Mus musculus: one gene and its partners. The protein of the gene in region 1 interacts with the protein of each later gene in a biochemical or structural test. Links are inferred from orthologs where the notes say so. Each region holds a gene or a part of one and is shown in the gene's direction. Other genes may lie near its edges.

Region 1 (4,252 bases):
AGCACCGTCCACCCAGCACCGTCCACCCTGGCCACCCTCTATTACAGAGCTCTGGTGAGGGTAGGGATAATTTGTTTCCAAGAGTACATTTAGCAGTATCTGGAGATGTTTGTGTTGTCCCAGGCAGCAGACAGATGGAAGAGTACCAGCATCCAGAGTGTGAGGGTGGGGTTCTGATATCAACCTAGTGTGCAGGAGACCCTCCAGCAGAGTGCTCAGGCCCCTGGTGTCAGTGGCAAGGTGGGAAACTGACCACGTTCTGACAGTGCAGACTTGAAAGAACACCGAGTGAGGTTCTAGTTCAGTGGTACAATGCTTACTTCGCAGGGAGTATGCATCGTGTTCAATCCCCAGCATTGCATAAAAACAAAATTTAAAGATGAGCATCCAGAAGGAAGGAGAACGGCTCTCTTCCTGCCCAAAAGGGGCAGGTTATGTTGGTCATGTCTAGGCAATGGAGATTAGTTAAGAGCAAGGAACTAGCCTGACCGAGCCTCCATAAAATGGGAGTATGGCAGGCCCAACGTGCAAGGTACAAGAAGTAATGCACTTGGCTGGCGTCCGTAGTTACTACTTTTCAGGGGCCTAGGGTTGAGCCTTAGCAAAGAGTGTAGATACTCTGAGTCTCCTCCCAGCACGCCCTCAGTTCTGGGTCCAACATCCCCTTGCAGCTCCAGTTGTGTCGCGAGCAAACCAAAGCGGACCCCGAGCTAGTTGGGTCACGGCTGCCCAGTGTCGGGCCTCCTTATGAATGACACCGAACGGCGCCCGGCGACCCTTGACCCTCGGCGCCAGCCCGCCCCTCCCCCCCTGGCAGGTGGACAGCCGCTGCGCCGGCCCGCCGTGGCGTCAACCTCTGGCCCGTGGCCGCTGCCGCACTGGGCAGGGGCGGGAGACTGCAGCGCGCACATTGCCGCACGGGCGTCCGCCGGGCCGCCTCCCGCACCTCGCAGCGCCTGCCACCCAGCCACCCTCCAGCCGCCGCAGCCTCCGCCCCGCCCGCTGCCCGGGCCGCAGCCTGAGCCGCTGCCCCGCCCTCTCACCCCGGGACTGACACTAGCCGGGGCCGCCTGTCTCCGCCAATCGACGGCTTCGCAGGGGCAGCCCCAAGCCCTCTCGGGCTTCTCGGCCAATCACGTGCGTTCGCCCGCCCGACTGCGGCCTCACGAGCCCGTGAGTGGCGGAGAGTCTGCAACTCGCGTCACTCATCCAGGAGCCTATGGTGGCGCGGGAGGGTTCCGGAGGGCCAATGGACAGCGGCGTAGGGCTGTCAGTCAGGGAGGCCTGAACCAATGGGCGGTGGGCTGCGGGGGCGTCACGGACAGAGGACTTGGGCTGAGGCTCCCCCGCGGGCGGGCGCAGAGAGACGCGGGAAGCAGGGGCTGGGCGGGGGTCGTGGCGCCGCAGCCAGCGCAGCCAGCCCCAGGGGCCGCCGCCTCCGCTGCCCAGCGCGCTCCGGGGCCGCCGGCCACCTTAGCACCCGCCGCGTCGCAGCTCCGGGACTGGCCCCGGCCGCGACGCCGCCGCGATGGGCAACGCCGCCGCCGCCAAGAAGGGCAGCGAGCAGGAGAGCGGTGAGTGCCCGGCCGTCACCCTGATCTTCACTGCGTGCGGCCTGCCCGCGCAATGCCCATCACTGCATGGCCCCTCCCCCATATGCCCCCCCAATCTTGTCTGCCTGCACCCCTGCCTGCTGCCTGTTCACGTTGGGGTCGGATCACCGCAGAGATACTTTGCCCCCAGTAGGGCCTGGTGCCCATGGCCTACCATCCCCCACTGCAAAGGCCGTGCCCCCCCACCCAGCTGTCACTGCCAACCATTGCATGTATGACCGCCGGGGCCCCAGATGAGGCCCTGTCACCACACCAACCCCTCTTCTCCTAGTCCCTTTCTCCAGATTCTATACCCCCTCCCACTTCGTCACTTACCTTTCCCACACAGCGCCCCAATGCCTGACCCTGATCCAGGCTCCTGCCAGTTTCGGGAGTGCTGTGGGGTCCACGCTGCAGGGACCTTGGCCACTTGGTGACCACACCCCTCCCCCTCCAGCCCCCGCCATCTTTCTCCTACCCCTGCCCGATTCACCTCATCACAGCTCCCACCTCCAAGCCACCCCCACCCCCATGAGCATTTCCCGGGGCCACCTCCTGCATTGTTTTTCCCTTCTGTGTCACTTGGCATGGGGGACAAGATCTTTCTGGGTCCCTCTGCCCCTCTCATCCTGTCACTCCACCTCCTCCGTGCATTCGTCTGGCCCTGGCTGGGGTGGCAGACTGTTTATGAACCTAGAGAGCTGCTTCTGCGCTTCCTTATCCAAGTTGGAGCTGGTCTTGCTCAGAGCCATTACGTCTGTCCTTTTTCTTGGGTTGCGGGTGAGGTAAAGCGGCAGAGCACCCTCCTGGCCTACCCTGAGGTCTGGGTTCCTTAGAAGGCCCCTCAATAAATGGTCGTTTCACAACTGCGGTTCTGTCGTTCACCCAGCCCCTGGGGCTGGTTTGAAACTGCGGATGAAATGAATAGCAAAGGCTCATTCCACTGAATGGGGATGGTCAGAAGAATTGCGCGCATTGGGGTAACGCCATCCAGCAATAGGTGACAGCTAATGATTTGGTTTGCTTAAGACAGATGGATTCTGTGCATACCGAGGGCTCACCCAGAGGGAGGTATATCCACACACACATACACACACCCCCCCCCCAAAAAAAAAACCATGCTGAATTTTTCTAGCCAGGGAAAAAAAAGTGATTCTATATTTGAAATTACTTCAGAAAGGGCCTTGGGCCCTGTCCCCCAGTGCTTCATGTCTCAAAGTGGTGTCACTCCAAGCTAAAGCTGTACTGCAGCTGAGAACAGCTTCCAGTTACCCAAAAAGGAGGCTCTGATCAGCTGTGCCCTTCTCAGTGTCTGAGTCCCCCGAATGCCACTCAAGAAGCCCAAGAACTTTCTGCCCCTCCCCCCCCCCTTCAACCAGCAGAGCTCAGCCCAGCCTAGCAGCCTTAAGAGGCCTGGCATTTCACAGATGGGCGGGGGACAGAGGCAAGTGCTTGTAGTTGAGGGCTTGATGACAGAGGAGCAGGTGGGTAGTGCCCAAAAAGGTCTTGGGCTTGAGCTTGGAGGGCTCCGGGCAGAAGGAGAAGGGCCAGCCCCCTTGGCAGGTGAGGCCCACCAGGAGGTAGATGGTACGTGCAGTGGACTGAATACTGCAGTGGCCCCTCTGAAAGCTGAGCACAGTGCTAGGAAAGCTTTAAGCATATCAGACACACACAACAGGCACAGAGCCACAGAGGAGGGGAGAGCCCAAGGAAAAGATCAGAGTTTGAGAGTCAGTTGGACGGATGAACTCCGTGCATCCAGGAGGGCTTGGTTAAACGGTCTCCATAGACATACTTACTTTGATAATGTCTGTCCAGATGAGCCATCTGAGTTTGACACAGATGACAACACACAGGCAGAGTTCACATCCAGATCTGCTGACCAGCCCATCTCCTAGACCCCGTCATATCTCAACTCAGACATTCTTTGGTTTGCTTTGATTTTTAAAGACAGGATCTCACTATATAGCTCCTCTTGGCCTGAAACTTGAAATTTAGACCAGGCTGGCCTCAAACTCTCAGAGATCTGCCTGCCTCAGCTTCCCAAATGCTAGAATTAACGGCTTTCACCACCATGTCCAGCCTTCAACACATCAGCAGGAGTTAAACCCCAGTCATATTTTCTTAAAATGATAAAACAAACCCCATAATAGTGTATATTGACACTACCAGCAACCCAAGAGGCTGAGGCAAAAGGATTGCTTAAGCCCAAAAATTAAAGGCTAGCTTGGGTAACAGCAAAACCTTGTATCAAAATACAAAAGTCTACAGGATGGCCCTTAGGTAAAGATGTTTGCTATGAAGCTTGTTAGTCTGAATTGTCTTCCTGGGACCTACGTGATGGAGGGAGAGAGCTGACTCCTCAGAGTTGTCCTCTGACCTCCACGAGAGTGTGTGTACACACACAGTAAATATATAGAAACATTTAAAGAAAAAAAAAAAAAAAGAGGGACAGTGCCTCAAACCTAGCAAGGAAGGAAGGGCCTGTGACGCAGAAGGACCTGAGTTTGAGGCAGACCTGGGCCACAAAAGAGACAGCCTTTAAAAGCAGTAATAAACACTTTGCTCACTTCTGCCCATAGGTCCTAAGCTATTCCTGCCTGAGATTTCTAAACCTGTTGTAGTCTCTGGTACAGGCTTGTCATCCCAGCTACTTGGAC
Region 2 (3,646 bases), on another chromosome or scaffold:
GTGCCCAGCAACCAAGTTGTTGTTCAAGGTAATAGAATTAAGAATTCATACATATGGTACATTCTTTTAAAAATTAATGTGTATACTCATGAAAAGTAAGTATATTACAAAGCACTACTAAAATAGTTTTCTTCAGTATAGATTTAGATATTAACAGTTTAGATATGCATGTATTTAATACATAAATATCTCTCATGCAACTTTCCACTCAGATGAAAATGTCATGGCATAAAAACAACTATCTTTTAGCTTAAAAGGGGTTTTTCCTGTCTTTAATGCCTTCAGTAGTCAGGATTGGAAGAACCAAAATATGTTAGAAGAGAACTGAGGAAGTTATAGCCAGGCTGAATGGCCTCAAGTAACACTAGCTCCCCTGGGCCCCTTTCTTTCCCTCCTCTGTGTGCTATGTCACTATTAAAGAGTTCTAGTGGATTCTGCTGTTTTATCTGTTTTGTCTTGTTTTTATTATTTTTAATTTAAAAGGAATATAGAGCTTTTCTGAAGTCATCAATTTGGATTTTGGATAAGAACAAGCATCATTATGCAGATCCTTGCTCATTGGAGAACAAGTTGTCCTTTAGCCTCGGTGGACGAGAGGATTTTGTTTTGTTTTGTTTTGTTTTGTTTCCCAAAATTTCAAGAGTCTGGAGAGTGTTAACTATTCAGCATTAATTCACTGAGCAGTTCATAGTTCAATATTACCAGATTAAAAATTTATAGATTAAAAAAATAATATTTGCTTCTAAAAATATTTTATTAATAATAACTAATGTTGCCTGTGTTAATGAGAGTTATATCCCTTCACCATGGATAATTACTTTTGGATCATACCACAACACCAAGTAGAACATCTTTTGTTTAACAATGTCTAATAAATTTATACTATATATCTTGTTATTAGACCAATGATATTTAAAAAATATTTTGCTTATTAGTGGGAGTAAAACACCTTTTCACTTTACATGCAGGTACTCAAAAAATTGTAAAGCAGGATGTCAGTGAATTTGAATTCTCAACGTCAGTTTGAATATGGTAACATGTTTAGTATATAAATCTTTGTCCCTCAAACGATACAATCGGTGTTTTTAACTGATATGAATGATTTTATAAAGACATTCAAAATCTCTCACATAGTATTAGGGTACTTATGAAAGCATATCATGACACTGTTTCTAGAAGCAAATAATGGACAAATAGTGATTTTTTTTTTCACATATGGAGATTGTATGGTGAGGAAAACCCAAACTACACGCCTTTAATTCCAGCACTTGGGAGGCAGAGGCAGAGGCAGGTGGATCTCTTGAATTCTAAGCCAGCCTGGTCTACATAATGAGTTCTAGACAGCCAGGGCTACATAGTAAGTCCCTGTCTTAGAAAACTGAAATGAAAACAATTCAGCTTTTACTTACTTAGTTTTAGTCACTTATATTAAGATATGTTTACATATACCATGATTGGCAGCAAATGTCCAGTTTTTCATACTTGGAGTTTTGTTTGAATTAGAAATTTATAACAGTTTCTATATGCTTATTTTTTTTCTTCTATTTTGCTATTTTATGAAAAATCATGGTCGTTTTTATGTCGTGGCAAGAGTCTACTTGAGTTTTTTGGGTTTTGTTTTAAATGTGAATTTATGTAAAGCAAGGGAAGATACTGAGGCCTGTGTGGGAGGACATCTCTGCTCAGCTCCTTTAGACTTAAAGCTGACAAGCATGCAAACCACAGACTGCATCTCCCTCCCAGCACAACATGAATAAGACCCGCAGGGACGCTGAGGCACCCTGCCCCGTACCTGTACTAATAAATAGGACAGACAATTGGAGTCTTCTTCTTAGATAGAGTCCCATTCCCTGTTTCCCTTTTAATCTAAGTATGTTTAGATTGATTGAGACACAGTTGAATTAAATTGTAGTGTTTCTGTGTCTTATACCTTGTTCGCTCTTCTCTGCAGCTGCCTCAGGCGATGTACAAACATACCAGATCCGCACAGCACCCACGAGCACCATTGCCCCTGGAGTTGTTATGGCGTCCTCCCCAGCACTTCCTACACAGCCTGCTGAAGAAGCAGCACGGAAGAGAGAGGTCCGTCTAATGAAGAACAGGTACAGATTCCAAACACTTAAATGCTATGGGTCAAGTATGTCTATAAACTCTTCTGTGTGTGCCTTTACATCTGCTAACAGTAGGTTCTGTGCATTGATTTTCTTTTTCTGGTAGAATTAGTGGATCTTGCTAAAGCTTCTTTGTTTATTAAGTTGCATTTATAAGATGGCTAATGGAACTTTAGGTCAGTCTTCAATCAAAAAAGTAATTTTTCTTCATAGTTTTTCCACAAGAGAAATACATAGCTTTAATGAATTTGTACTTTATTCTAGCTAATAGGATATGTTAATTAAAAAAATTTGTAAGTAATATTCATCAAAGTGTCACATATGTATACTAACATTAGACTCTAGTTTATTTGCATTAAATTTATTTATAACAAGTATACAGTAGCCATTTTTGTTTTAATGAATACTTTCTTTTGCATTTTTATACACTTACAGATTTATTTATGCATGTTTTATGCATATGTGTCAATGCCTACATGTATGTATATGTACCACATTCATACCACAAAGGGCAGAAGAATGCATTAGATCTCTTGGAACTAGAGTGAGAGGGGTTGGTCAGCCACCTGCCTTGTTCTTTGTTTGGGGTCAGAGTCTTGCTGTGTGGGCCAAAGTTGCCTGGAGCTCTTATCCTCCCGCCTCTGGGAGTGAGTGCTGGAATCACAACCTTGGGCCTGGCCTTAGGGGCAGGGGCTTTCTTTACTCAGTAATAACTTAACATCCAAACACTTTTAAAACAGAGAAATTCTAAAAAGTATGGTATTCCCGACAAAGCCTTAATGCACAGTTAATGTTAGTCTTAAGAAGTTAAAGTGGTACAGAAGAGAAGCTATAAAACACAGGTAAAGCCTTTCTTAGAAATTTATTTGCTTTCAAATGTTTTTGCCATCTTAAAAAAAAGGAAGTTATTAATGTGGAAATGATCAAAACAAAACAAAACAAATGGTCTGAGGAGGCCATCGTTGGTTAATGTGTTCACCATCCAAGCAAGAACACTGGAGTTCAGATCCCCAGAACCCATATAAAATTCTTGGTAGGGCCCTGTAATTCCTCTGATGGCACAGGTGGGGTTTTCAGGGTAAGCTTGTCTGTAAGCTCTGGGTTGAAGAAACCATGACTCAAGAGTAAGCGAAAAAGCAACATTAGGGAAGATAGCCTGCACACACATAAAACATGTGAGTAAACATCAAGGGGCTATAATGGGGGAGGGAGGTGAAAACTAAAAGAGAATCAAGGTGTATAGAGATGTAAACTATTTAAATTCTTCTTTTTACCCCAAGAGTGTAAGAACTATGATAAAGTAAATGAGACAGAAATTGAACTTAGCAGATCTAACTTCAATTCCTGCATTCACCCTTTAGCTATGACTCTGGAAGAATACATTAATTTCCTAAACTTGGGTTTCTACCTTTGAGTAAAATAAGATCTCTCCTTGCACCCAAAGCTTGGCTCTCAGGGTCAGGTAAGACAGCACATGGCATCTCTACTGCTCCTTCTCTTCCAACAATTTTATTTTTGGTAGGTCAGCATCATTG
Region 3 (4,368 bases), on another chromosome or scaffold:
AATTTCTTCAGATTGTTAAGAGAAATTAGTATTCTCCATGATCTCCATATAGAACTTGACTGGCACTTGGATATGTATTTCCTTTAAACTTTTAAGCTTTTTAGAAGTCTGGGCTGCTGGCTACATTTTGATAATTCACATGACTAGACCATGACCTTTCATTTTCAGACTTTTATTTAGGAGTGAATAGCTGAAAGCGTCTTCACATGCTGCAACAGTTTATGTACTTTACTTTTCTTAGCAGTCTAATGATTTTCAGTTTTGGTTTTGTATTTAAATAGTTTGCAAAGATAACTCTTTAAAGGGTTACATTTATTACTGGCCCCTTTCATATAATACAATGGTATTCCAAATGAGGATCTTTAATGGATGGAGAAAAAAAAAGAATAGAAAAAATTTAAAGTATCTTAAAATCTGATATAACAGTTGCACTTATTATTTATCCTGTAATAGTTTACACACACACACGCCTATTATTTTTTAATTTTAAAAAATTGCAAGCCTTTAATCCCAGCATTCAGAAAGCGAATCTCTGAATTCAAAGCCAGCCTGGTCTACAGAGTGGGTTCCAGGACAGCCAGGGCTTCACAGAGAAATCTGTCTTGAAAAACCAATAATAAAAATATTTTTTATAGTGGGGAGATCTTTCATATATATATGATGTGTATATATATATACACACACATACACACACATTATAGGAGCTGTAATAAACAGAAAAGCACATTAATACATGTGATTGTTACATTTTGAGCACTAGATGATTAAGGCTTACTAAGTTGCAAGCCAGGAAATAACATGTCAGCTAGTCTTTATAATAATTTAGTGTCAAAATCATTAACAACAAACCTAAGTTAAACCCTCACTCCGGTACCAACAAGTCACATGGCTCTAACAGGGTTCGGGTGTTCTGTAAATCAAAATTAGTCTCTATCCACGTGTGATCAAGCAAGGCGGTTTCTTCTCAGTTGACATCTACTGGAAGACAACACAGGAGGGGCTGGGCTTTTACCTACTAGTCTGGTAAGCCAGTGACATATCATGTTCTGGCAGAGGCTGATGGCCTTGTTTGCTGAAAGGTTGCCCAATCTCAACGCCTGAATCCTTTACTCGGACAGTTCGGATGAAAAGTCGTAAGGGTCAGCTCTAGCAACAAAACGCTTCTATGCCTCCTCGTGCCGCCAGTAGGCTACACCCTCTTGGCCTATTCGTCCCTCTGACTCCTGGGCTTTGCTAGGCTGGGTAGACCTGTCCGCTCTCGCGAGTACACCGAAGCACACTGGTCTATAGATTGAGTAAAAGGAGCAGAGGCTAAAAACACCAAGCCTCTCTCAGCCCAGTCTCAAGATGGCGACGATGCTGGCCAGCTTCCACCCAGCCCAAGGCCATCTCCCCTTCCCAAAGGCCCCTGCGCCGCAGGCGAAGGCGAGCTAGAGGAGGGCCCCACAGAGCTGCGATCGGGGCGGGGCAGAGCCCGTCGCCATCCCACGCACGCGCAACCCCGCCTCGCATCCCGCCTCCGGACTCCGAGCCCTCGCCCGGCAGGGTTGGCGCGCGCTGCCTGTCGGGATACTCGGTCCGCCCACCTAGTCCTCTCGTCCAGTGCTGCGTTCGCGAGATCCGTATTTCTCCCAAGATGGTGGCGCTCCTCTTTGGGTGACTCCAGGAGACGACAGGGCCTTTCGTCTTTGCCAGCACCTCGTCGCCCCTCCTGCGCTCGCTCTCTCGCTCGCGCACCGGGCCACGCAGCTGTTCACCGCCTCGTTACGCTTCTCTTCCGTCGACCTGTCGCTGACGGTGGCGCCTCCTTCTGCTTCTCTTCGGAGTTGCTCGCCGCCCTCGCCCCCCACTGTGGACAGATCGCGACAGCAGCGCTTCAGCGCCGACTTCAAGGTTGCCCAGGCGCCTGGCCTCTCGGCCTCGGTTTCCTGAGGAGAAGCGCGGGTCCCGCATGAGACCCGGCGGTGGCGCCAGCGAAAGGGAACGAGGCGGTGGCGGGCGGCGGCGGTGGACGAGGGCGACAAGGACCAGTGAGGCGGCCGCAGCTGCGAGGGCCGCAGCCCACGCGCGGGGGCGAGGACAGGTCAGTGCTGCTGCGGCTGCGGCCTGCCCGGCGCGCTCCCTCTGGTCTGTACCGCCGGTCCCCTCGTCACCCTCCGGCCCGCGCTGACAGGGTAGGCGCCGGGCCCTCACCCGCCTCCGTGAGCGAGTGCTTGGGGCGCGTGGTCTGGAGGGGCCGGTGCCAGGACTAGGCCCTGGTGGCTGCGGCTGCTGCAGCCTTAACTGTCAGTGCTGGCTGGACGCAGGAGGGAGGGTTTTGTCACCCACGGGTACCCGAGTGGGCCCGGGGTGGGGCGGACGTGCAGGGCGTCGAGATCGGGGGCCTCATCTAAGCAGAGATCGGAGAGCCAGCCGTGGCTTCAGGCTGCGAAAGGCAGGCCTTTTCCTCCAAAGGGGCGCTCTGGTGGGGAAGACATATTTAGATGTGTGCTTAGTGGGTTGGGGTATTGGGGGTGGATTGGAAGGAAGACGGATGAAGCGGCACCTCAAGCCCAAGGATTGCGCTCTGGTTTTATTCGTGTGCTGCTTCTGGTAGGATTCAGTAGTTGAACGTGAGTTACTGATTCCTCAGAAACTGCTGTGTTAATTTTCAATGCAAACCTGTAAGCAGTTGGCCTCCTCCTCTTCTCCCCTCCCCCTTTTCAGTTGAGAAAATGAAAAGGACGTTTTCCCCATTTTGATGCGGAGGCTTTTTGTTGGAAGAATCAGAGTTGAATGTGCTATAATTGCGTTAGCCTTAAAAATAGAAAGTATAATTTTAATAAGACTTTATCAGCTTTAGAAGAATCCTCTAAAGACAATTTTACGTCAATTTTTTTTATGTCTTTTGAGCATGCTAAAATAGAACAGTATAAAATCTCTTTGGGATTGCGTTAAATAGCTAGTGTACTGTTGGAAATGTTAACTAAATAGTATATGGGATGTGTTATCCACCATTATCTTACTTCGTGAAGGATATTCGTATAACCCATGGTTTTGGGAGAAGCAGCAGATTATGTTAAAATGTTTTGGATAGGGAAGTGCGTTTGAAATAAAGATGGCCTGAACTTTAAGAAATACAGCTGTTAAAAAGCTAAATATCAAAGCCCTATTGGACAAGAGACACGACGAATGTTTTTGACACACCTCAGATTAGTTAATACTCTTAAGATATCTTTTTGGTAAATTATGTAAATTTAGAATTGAGGAGAGATAAAAGGAAAATTTTGTCTTGTTATGTATGACAGAAATTGCTTTAGTATTAAATTCTCCTCTTAAATAGACTGCTTACTGCACTTTTAAGGAAGTGGATACTGCATCTGTATTGCTGATAAGCCTAAGTAAGGATGACTGTAAATCCATAAATACTTAGCTTTACAAAAAAGCCATGTATCAGAATCTGTAATAAAAATGAGAACTTCAACAATTCGCAGTCTATCGTTTAAGAAAGATACAGCACATAATAAAGATGAGATGACTTGTAGTTTTGTTTTCAAAATCAGAATGTAGGTTGTGAAATAATTTGTGTCAATATTTACCTTGCATGGTGTGTTGTGAAGTGGTATACACATACTTCTTTGGATGTTGCTCTTCATATAACTGAGGAGCTTAACTTTGAGTTTAGAAAATTCCTTTTGTATGCAGGTTTTGTAGGTGGCTTTTTTATCCCTGAAATAGCCACCATCACCCTTTTTTTTTTTTTTTTTTGAGAAAGGGTCTTATGGTATATCGCTGGATGACGTCTAACTCTCCTCTTGGCTTTGTCTCCAGGGTTCTGCGATTAAAAATGTATACCACCAGGACCGGCTATTTACCCTTTTTATGGTTTTAAATTAGAAAAATGTGATTTCTACCTGAGACAAAACTCATTCTATTTGATTCGTTTTTTTTTTTTTTTTTTTAACATTGCATTCATTAGGTATCTATAATGTCTCTGACATGTAAATTTTATTCAGTTGTATTTCTTAAACATTTGTGTCTTCCCTCAAATAATTGCAGTAATAATTGTTTCTCTCAATTTTTATGAACATTTTCTTTTTAATTGGCCATAGCTATTTTTTTTTCTGTTCAAGAGCTTAAGATGATCTTTTCAAATGTCCTTTAAAAAAACCAACACCTTAAATGAATGGTTACTGGTATATTATCATTTATTCTAATTAGGTTTGTTTGTTATTATTGATAATATTACTGTTAATGGATTTATATTATATTTATATGCAGCTATTAAAAACATCAGTGTTCTGATTTTTGCAACTGGAGATGAGTTTTAAGAGGTGGTCTTTTAAGTACTTTCAAATACGGAAAAACAATATAAAAATATAAAAATAG

Evidence for each region.
Region 2: the proteins of Prkaca (region 1) and Creb1 form a complex in vitro, tested with the Homo sapiens proteins (2 studies listed by BioGRID, with this or other methods). The link is inferred for Mus musculus from reciprocal best matches to the Homo sapiens genes PRKACA and CREB1.
Region 3: the proteins of Prkaca (region 1) and Ube3a form a complex in vitro, tested with the Homo sapiens proteins (2 studies listed by BioGRID, with this or other methods). The link is inferred for Mus musculus from reciprocal best matches to the Homo sapiens genes PRKACA and UBE3A.

The regions. Positions count from the first base shown.
Region 1 is NC_000074.6:83,971,659-83,975,910, forward strand, and holds the start of Prkaca (cAMP-dependent protein kinase catalytic subunit alpha), read left to right. Parts: upstream 1-1,319; 5' UTR 1,320-1,528; coding exon 1,529-1,574; intron 1,575-4,252.
Region 2 is NC_000067.6:64,574,228-64,577,873, forward strand, and holds part of Creb1 (cyclic AMP-responsive element-binding protein 1), read left to right. Parts: coding exon 1-28; intron 29-796; exon of another isoform or gene 797-992; coding exon of another isoform or gene 993-1,032; intron 1,033-1,951; coding exon 1,952-2,102; intron 2,103-3,646.
Region 3 is NC_000073.6:59,227,189-59,231,556, forward strand, and holds the start of Ube3a (ubiquitin-protein ligase E3A), read left to right. Parts: upstream 1-1,561; 5' UTR 1,562-2,083; intron 2,084-2,501; exon of another isoform or gene 2,502-2,612; intron 2,613-4,368. UniProt on the Homo sapiens protein: E3 ubiquitin-protein ligase which accepts ubiquitin from an E2 ubiquitin-conjugating enzyme in the form of a thioester and transfers it to its substrates.